2 linked regions of the Canis lupus familiaris genome follow. The protein of the gene in region 1 purifies or fractionates together with the protein of each later gene. This does not show direct contact. Links are inferred from orthologs where the notes say so. Each region holds a gene or a part of one and is shown on either strand. Other genes may lie near its edges. The genes, in order: TRAF3IP2 and IKBKB.

Region 1 (3,810 bases):
CCCCTCCCGGGCAGCAGTTTTCATTTATGGAAGAACGGAATCGATGGCCAGGATCTCAGCTTTCAGCGGCCTCCCCTGACACTGGCCATGACTCCGACCACTCAGACCACAGTTGCCCCAGCGCCTCGGCCGGCGCCTGGCCCAGCAGCCACGACACGGTGCAGCGGCCCCGGCCCCGCAGGAGCCCAGCGGCCCGGGACCCGCCCACGGTAGACACGGGCTACGACTCCCAGCCCCAGGACGTGCTGGGCATCCGGCAGCTGGAGAGGCCCCTGCCCCTCACCTCCGTGTGTTACCCCCAGGACCTCCCCGGGCCGCTCAGGTCCCGGGAGTTCCCTCAGTTCGAACCTCAGAGGTACCCGGCGTGTGCGCAGCTGCTGCCTCCCAACCCTCCCCCGCATGCTCCGTGGAACTGTCACCACCACTGTCCCGGAGGTCCCTATCACCAGGTGCCATGTAAGTGAACGCCACCCTTCTGGACATTCCGGGCTGGGTCACTAAGGAAACCGGGGCTTCGTGTCGGTGCCAGGGCCCCAGACGGCCCAGACCGGTCGGGGCAGCGAGGCCGGCTCTGCTTCCCGGGGGCGACTGTCCCCGAGCGCCTGGACCTGCCGGGAGCCTTAGGAGGATGCTTCATCCTAGCCCAGCGCCTGCCCCACTGGGAACCTACTCTCCGTGAAACTTCCAGGGGAAACAGACCCCTCCGTCTCGGTTAGTTTAGCTGACACCTGCCTACAGGTGGGGAGACGGCCCAAGCGGCTTCTAGGGTATATTTTTGTCATCTTAATGCTTGGGCATCCGGGTTCTTCCTTCACTGCGTGCTTCTAACCTATCTGAGATTTGGCAAAGAGGCCTTCAGTCAAAATTCCCAGAATGTTCTTGATGCTCTGGATTCATGCCTTTACCTGGAGATTGAGTTGCTCCTGAGATGCTATTGCTTAAATACCTCTGGATGCTCCAGCCACCAGCCTTTACCTGACACCCTGGCCACCCCCACCCCCGAGGACCACAGTCCCCAGACCCCGGCTACCTGCTTCACACCTGCAAGTGCTCGCCCTTGCTCTTCCCTATCCAGGATGTTCTTCCCCTCCTTGCACATTTAACCCAGCTCTACGCCCCCCTTTTTTTAACAGCTTTATTGCGATCTAATTTACAAACTGTGAAGTTCGCCTTTGACCCAGTTAGGTGTACAATTCAGTGTATGCTTGCAGACCTAATCCAACCATCATCATATACACCTTGTAAGACTTCGTTCAAGGGTCCCTCTGGAAAGCTCCTCAGATCAATCCCTCCTTCAGGCTCTCAGTTTCCTGGCGCTCTACCGCTTGGAACACCTAGTATCAGTATGGCATCTAGTCATGGACTTGTCCACCTCTCCATCCAGCACATCAAGCATATCAGCAAAGGTATATTATTATTATTATTATTATTATTATTATTATTATTATTATTATTTTAGAGAGAGAGAGTGAGCACACGTGCACACGAAGTGAGGAAGGGGAGGGTGCAGAAGCAGAGGCAGAGGGAGAGAGAATCCTAAGCCAGATCCACACCCAGTCTGGAACCCAGAGCAGGTCTCAGTCTCATGACCAAGAACCAGGAGCTTAACCATTGAGCCACCCAGGTGCCCCAGCAAAGGTATATTTTTAATCCATAATTCTCCAGCATTTAGCACAGTGACCAGCATATACTAGACTCTTAGTAAATTATTTCTGGGTAAATACATTGTGTCATTGCAGTAAGCATTTCTGAAAGTGATCAAGTCTCAGATTGAGACAAAAGGTCCATTACAATTCCTTTTTTTTTTTTTAAAGGTTTTATTTATTTGACAGAGAGTGAGAGAGAGAGCGAGCACAAGCAGGCGGAGCGGCAGGCAGAGGGAGAGAGAAGCAGGTGTCCCGCTGAGCAGGGGGCCCGATGCAGGGTTTGATCCCAGGACCCTGGGACCATGACCTGAGCTGATGGAGAACACTTACCGGACTGAGCCACCCAGGTGCTCTGGTCCGTTTTTGATTTTTTTTTTTTTTTTTAATTTATGATAGACAGAGAGAGAGAGAGAGAGGCAGAGACACAGGCAGAGGGAGAAGCAGACCCCATGCAGGGAGCCCAACGTGGGACTCGATCCCGGGACTCTAGGATCGCGCCCTGGGCCAAAGGCAGGCACCAAACCGCTGAGCCACCCAGGGATCCCCATATTTTATGTTAAGTCTCCGCCGAGGCCACTGGGAAATAACAGGGCTATGAGATATGATAGTTTTCTTAACAAATAAATGTTGTACAAAAAGCAGTTCAAATGGTCAGACCAGAATCTGACCAAAGGCCTGATGCCTGGCTTTAAAATAAATTATAGAAATAACCCAAAATGCTGTAACCATCACAATTATTTACATATTGGTCCATGTACAATGCATATAGAGCTTCCTAAAGTGAATGGACCAGCAGCGTAATTCATAATTTTTTTTTAAAAAAGAGGGAGAGATTTTTGTCTTGATGTACGAAAGCTTCCGTTCTGGAGGGAGAGGTAGGCCTGGGCGGTCTGTGAGCAGATGCCATACTGACGTCAGGCGTTGTGACAGGCAGCGCACGAGGAAATGGAGCCTGAAGGAGGCATGGGTCTGGGAGCTTTCCAGAGGGACCCTGGAGCTGAGTCGTAAAGGAACTTAGAAGATAAGGTTGCAAGAAAAAAGGAGGAATGAATGTGAGGTTAAGGGTGAGGCCAGGAGCTGTGGAAGCAGCAGGGCTCAGGGAGAAGGAGCCTCTGAGGCCTAAAACCGGGACCCTGAGTCTTGGAGGTTGGGAAGTCACCAGTTGGGGGTTGTGGACACCACTGCTTGCTCTAAGTGCCCAGTAATAGGACGGGTGTGGTTGCAGAGTTCCTTAGGGATGAATCACTGAGGAGTGAACCTTGGTAGCGTCAGGGCGGATTTATTTCTCCATGATTTCCAGGTTCAAAGGGGATAATTCTGTGAGGATAATGCCATAAACTACTTTCTAACATTCTACAATCTGCATTTAAAGATCATTTTCCTGATCCGCAACAATATATGTTTGCTGGCAAAATTGAAATGTGCCTAAACGTCCCATCCCTATTTCCATCTCCTAACTATAATTCCTTATTGGGATTTGACTTAAAAAAAAAAAATATATATATATATATATATATATATATATATAAATAGATTATATGTATTTGATGTAAAGTTAAAATAATTCCCAGTGACTTTCCGTCACTTCTTCCAGCATCATTTAAAAATTCTGCGCCGTATTTTATCGGATGGATTCCATCAACTTGTTTTTGAAGCTACTCTCTGTTACTGGACAATGTAAATAGTTTCCAGTTTCTGATCCAGTAAGCAAAGCTAGGACGAACATCAGGTACATACTTTTTTATCTGCATTTCCGATTAATTCCTTAGATTAACGTGTAGAAGTCTGAATACTTAGGGCTTTGTGCTATTAAGTCCCAGGCAGTTCCCTTTATCCGCTAACAGGAGAAAGCCTCATTGTGACAGACAAAGAAAGCATTAACTCAGTATGATTTGAGGATCCCAGATAGATCTTCCCACTTGCAAATATTTTGTGTGTGTGTTGATGCCTGAAATGACACCATGAGCAGTCCAGTCTTGGGAGGTGAGCACAAATTGCCCCCTCTGGGCAGACTCTTTGAAAATGCAAACATCCCTGACTGGAGACTCTTTCAGGCTCTAATATCTGCTATGAGATTTCTCTCTTGTCAGCTGTGTTGTCCTCCCCGGGTACCCTATTCCCTTCCACTGAAGTGGGGAGGAGAGGGCTGCTGGGGGCCCTGGGA
Region 2 (4,568 bases), on another chromosome or scaffold:
TGACTTCATTCGATTCAACCTAATACTGCCCACATTTTAAAGAAGAGAAATGGGGGCGCCTGGGTGGCTCAGTCATTAAGCATCTGTCATTGGCTCAGGTCATGATCCCAGGTCCTGGGATGGAACCCCAGGTGTGAGTGTCAGGCTCCCTGTTCAGCAAGGATCCTGCTTCTCCCTCTGCCCCTCCCACCTTGTGCTCTCTCAGTCAAATAAATAAATAAAATCTGGAAAAAAAAAAAAAAGGAAGAGAAATAGACGCTTGGAATGATTAAGTAATTGGCCCCCAAATCTCAGAGTAGTCAATAGCAGTGTGAGGATTCAAACTCCAGTTTGCCTCCTTCTGAATTTCTTAGTATGATACATTTCATCAAATATTAAGAGCTTGGACCTAAAAACCAGCCTCTTGGGTTGGACTATCAGTTCATACACTTACTAGCCTGTGACTTGGACATATTTTCCTATCTGCACATCAGTTTTATCACCTATAAAATGGGGATAGCAAGGGGATCGCTGGGTGGCTCAGCGGTTTGGGGCCTGCCTTTGGCCCAGGGCGTGATCCCGGAGACCCGGGATCGAGTCCCACGTTGGGCTCCCGGTGCATGGAGCCTGCTTCTGTCTCTGCCTGTGTGTGTGTGTGTGTGTGTGTGTGTGTCTATCATAAATAAATAAATCTTTTTTAAAAAATGGGGATAACAAGAACAAGAATCCAATCCCTCCCGATGTGGAGGGTTGCCCTGGGGATCCGCAGAAGGAATTGTAAGTACAGAGTGTGTGTAGGCAGCGCCCGGCGCTTCGGAAGCATCCTATAAAGGGGAGCTATATTCTTCAGGTTTCCTCCAATGCTACTCTTCCTGCTTGGGTCAATCTACCAACACACACCAGCTTGGTGTTAGTGCAATGCACAGAACTGAGAAACTCCACGGCACACCTCATTACCACGTCAGGCAGGTAGCAGCGGACCGGCGAACCTCTTACAACTTCCCTACATCACTGCGGCGGAAACTACGAGGTTTTCCCTCCTTTCATTTTTCGTGAAGGGGGTAGTAGAGGCTGTGGCTTCTTGGGAGTACATCCGTGACTGGTCGTGCTGGACACCGAGCCCGAGCCCGAGCGCCGAGCCCTGCGGACGGAGGACGCAGCCTGAGGAGGGGCCGGGCAGTTGTCAGCAGGCCGAAAGGAAACCCTGGCGGGCGCGGGAAATTCCAGCGAGGGAGCAGCCCAGGAAGCGGCGTCCATTACCCCCCGGAGGGTTCCCGGGAGGAAATCCCCGTCTCCCCCGTCCCAGAAACCGCCGCAGGTTCCAGTCACCGTGTACCGAGTCCGGCGCACTCGGGCTCGTCTTAGGGCCCCAGGGGCACCGCCTGTCCGGGTGCGGGGGAGCCCGCTGGAAGCCGCGCGCCGCGCCGGCGGGTCACCGCGGCGACGACCCCCCGGGCCCCCTGTGGCGCCGCGGCTCCTTTAAGGGCGCGCGGCCCACGTGCCCCGTGACGTCAGAGCAGGAAGTGTTTGAGGAAGTGGCGCTGCGCTGGCCCGTTTGAGATTCCCGCATTTTAATGTCTTCGGGGAGGCGCCAGAGCCCCCGGTTTGGCCGCCCTAGCCCCCGCCTCCCCGGTCCTGGGGAGCGGCTGCCCCGCCCCGCGCCCCTGCCGACAGGTGAGTCCCTCGGGCGGCCGCGGGCCAGGTGCCGCCGGCAGACCCCGCGCCCCTCGGCGCCCGCGAGCCCGCCCCCTCCTCCCTGAGGCTCCCGGAGACCCTGGGGTCGGGCTGAGAAGTCGGGTTCTCCGGGCGGACCGCGGGAGCCGGGGTGACTCCGGGGGCCGCCTGGAGGCGGGGGCTCTGGGACCGTGTGAGGACACACGTGACCGGAGAGCGTGCCCCGGCCACCCAGGGCAGAGCGCGCGGGACAGGGCGCCCTCGCTGCGGTCCGGGGGATGCCCTTTGCGGGCCTCCGAGGGACTGTCCTCCCCGCCTCCTTCCCTTACGGCTGAGCGGGGTGGGGGTGGGGGGGTGACAAAAGTTGGCTACCCAAACCCAAAACCAAACCAGACAGCCTGGTTCATTTATAAAGTGAAAACCAGCTCCTCTCTCGCACCGAAGGGCAATGTTGTCTCTTAGCTTCTCCGTCTGCTTGAGTTCCATTTTCTCTTAACCTTGATCTTTTGTCCCCTACACCAAATTGTTTACAGAGTTAGCGCGGCAGCAGCATGAGCTGGTCACCTTCTCTGCCAACCCAAACATGTGGGGCCTGGGAGATGAAAGAACGACTTGGGACAGGGGGATTTGGAAACGTGATCCGCTGGCACAATCAGGTAGGGGCGCTGTGCACCTGGGCTGAGCCAGAGGCCGGGAAGACAGGCTCCTGGGAACTGCCTCCGCCCTACACTGTGCTGGGTGGGGGACGGGGTTCGTCCTTGGCCCTGGGCTTCTTGGGGGAGTGAGAAACGGGAACCGTCAGGGGGCTTCCGAGCTGCTCAGCTGCCTCTAAGTGGTCTCCAAGCTTTACTGACTATGGCCCCCAAATTGTAAAAATATTTTAACTTTTATATATCTTAAACTAGTATCTTTATTATCATCACGCTATCATGTACTAATATATTGTGTATTAATATTGAAATACAAAAATTGAAAAATTTAAAGAATGAGCATCGTAAAATATATTTAAGTGTTTAAAGAATTAGCTCAAAAATATTTTATTTATTTATTTATTTTTTTTAATTTATTTTTATTTTTTATTTATTTATGATAGTCACACACACACAGACAGAGAGAGAGAGAGAGAGAGAGGCAGAGACACAGGCAGAGGGAGAAGCAGGCTCCATGCACCGGGAGCCCGACGTGGGATTTGATCCCGGGTCTCCAGGGTTGCGCCCTGGGCCAAAGGCAGGCGCTAAACCACTGCGCCACCCAGGGATCCCCAAAAATATTTTAAATACATACTAATTATGTGTTCCCACTATTGTTTGCAATACTGCACAGCACAGACTATACAGATCCATAATGAAACAGAGAATTATCAAGGACAGTGGGTGAAAATCCGTATTTCAAATAATTTTTATAATTTGGAATTATTTGGACCTATTTCTGACTGATTAGATCCTGATTGTTTTTACTCTTTATGTGTCTGAAATAAGTTTAGTTTCTCACAATAGAAGTGTTCCTCCATATTCCTTTTTGCTTATGCTGGTGTTACATGTACTGAAGTCCTCTGCAGAAATTTCTTTAGCCACTTGTCCATTTTGTGAGAGTCATTTTATTGACCTCAGATACTACGATCCATAATCCACCTAAGCAGGGGCACATGTAACCTGAAACATGTCTCCATAGGCCCCTGTCCACCACTCCCTGTGGAATGCCCATTTTCCTCAGTATACCTTGGGTCCACGAGATATATGATCTTTGAAAAATAATCTGAGGAAGATTTCATAAAGTTAATATCAAAAAAGCTTAATTTCTATTTAATTGTTTTGGATTCCAGTCTTGGGTAACCCTGGTGCACATCTACCCCATTTGGAGACCACTGCTCTAGGGAACCCCCAGTCACTGAGTAACTGAAGTTGGCTTCCTGACTCCAAAATCAGACCCCCGAAGTCCTTGAAGGAAGCACTTGCTTTTTGATCAGGGGCTGCTGAGCACTTTTTTGGACTGAAAGGAAGTGTACCACTTCTTGGGAGCCAGCTGCAGCAGCCAGCGAGAGAGTCATCAAGGCTACTGGCCAGCCACATCAGAGAGTCATTCCAGACAGCCACGCTCCTTTATCAGTTAGTTGGAAGACATTCTAGGCCCTGCCCTGAGTCCTGTCAGCTCTGAGTAGATGGAACGACCCCTGGAGGAGTGGGAGCCAGAGCTGGAGGGCACAGTCCAGTTCCGGAGGTGGTAATTCCCACATTGAACTGGGAAACCAGAATTCCTTTCAGCCACAGCTGGAATTCCTTTGAGCCACAGCTGGCTCAAATGTGTTCTGGTCCGAGTAGAGCTGTGGGCCTCACATTACAACATAAGAGCCAGATCATTCTATGGCCCCACATATACCTGGGCTGGGCTGCTTCTAGATAGGCCACAGCTTTTAGATTCTTGACTGCAGCAAATATCTCAGCAGCTGAAGTAGAGATGGTTTTCCTCAAAAGGAGTTCTGTCCAGGTGTGCCATGTGTCTGTCATTTCTAGCTCAGAATGGCCTCTATGAATTTGGAAAGCTATTGTCAGATGGAATTTGTTCCTGGCTTTATAGATATGGGCCTGAAAAAAATGTGTGTGTGTGTTTGTGTGTATGGATTAGTCTTCTAGAATTACTACTTTCAAGTTCCCCTATTCGAAAACCAGTAGCCTTCATTTTTATTTTATTTTTAATTGAAGTTGGCATACATTATTACATTAGTTTTAGGTGTACAACATAGTGATTTGACGATTCTATACATTATACAGTGCTCACCATGAAAGATATAGTCCCCATCTGTCCCCATCCAATGTTCTCACAGTATTATTGACTATATTTCCCATGCTGTACTTTTCATCCCCCCATGACTTATTTATGGTACTGAAAGTTTGTACCTCTTAATTCCTTCACCTATT

Evidence for each region.
Region 2: the proteins of TRAF3IP2 (region 1) and IKBKB purify together in Homo sapiens (affinity purification with western blotting; 3 studies listed by BioGRID, with this or other methods). This does not show direct contact. The link is inferred for Canis lupus familiaris from reciprocal best matches to the Homo sapiens genes TRAF3IP2 and IKBKB.

Annotation. Positions count from the first base shown.
Region 1 is NC_049233.1:68,460,100-68,463,909, reverse strand, and holds part of TRAF3IP2 (E3 ubiquitin ligase TRAF3IP2), read left to right. Parts: coding exon 1-456; intron 457-464; exon of another isoform or gene 465-711; intron 712-1,133; exon of another isoform or gene 1,134-1,201; coding exon of another isoform or gene 1,202-1,406; intron 1,407-3,810. UniProt on the Homo sapiens protein: E3 ubiquitin ligase that catalyzes 'Lys-63'-linked polyubiquitination of target protein, enhancing protein-protein interaction and cell signaling. Transfers ubiquitin from E2 ubiquitin-conjugating enzyme UBE2V1-UBE2N to substrate protein.
Region 2 is NC_049237.1:24,149,608-24,154,175, reverse strand, and holds the start of IKBKB (inhibitor of nuclear factor kappa-B kinase subunit beta), read left to right. Parts: upstream 1-1,481; 5' UTR 1,482-1,653; intron 1,654-2,186; 5' UTR 2,187-2,204; coding exon 2,205-2,309; intron 2,310-4,568.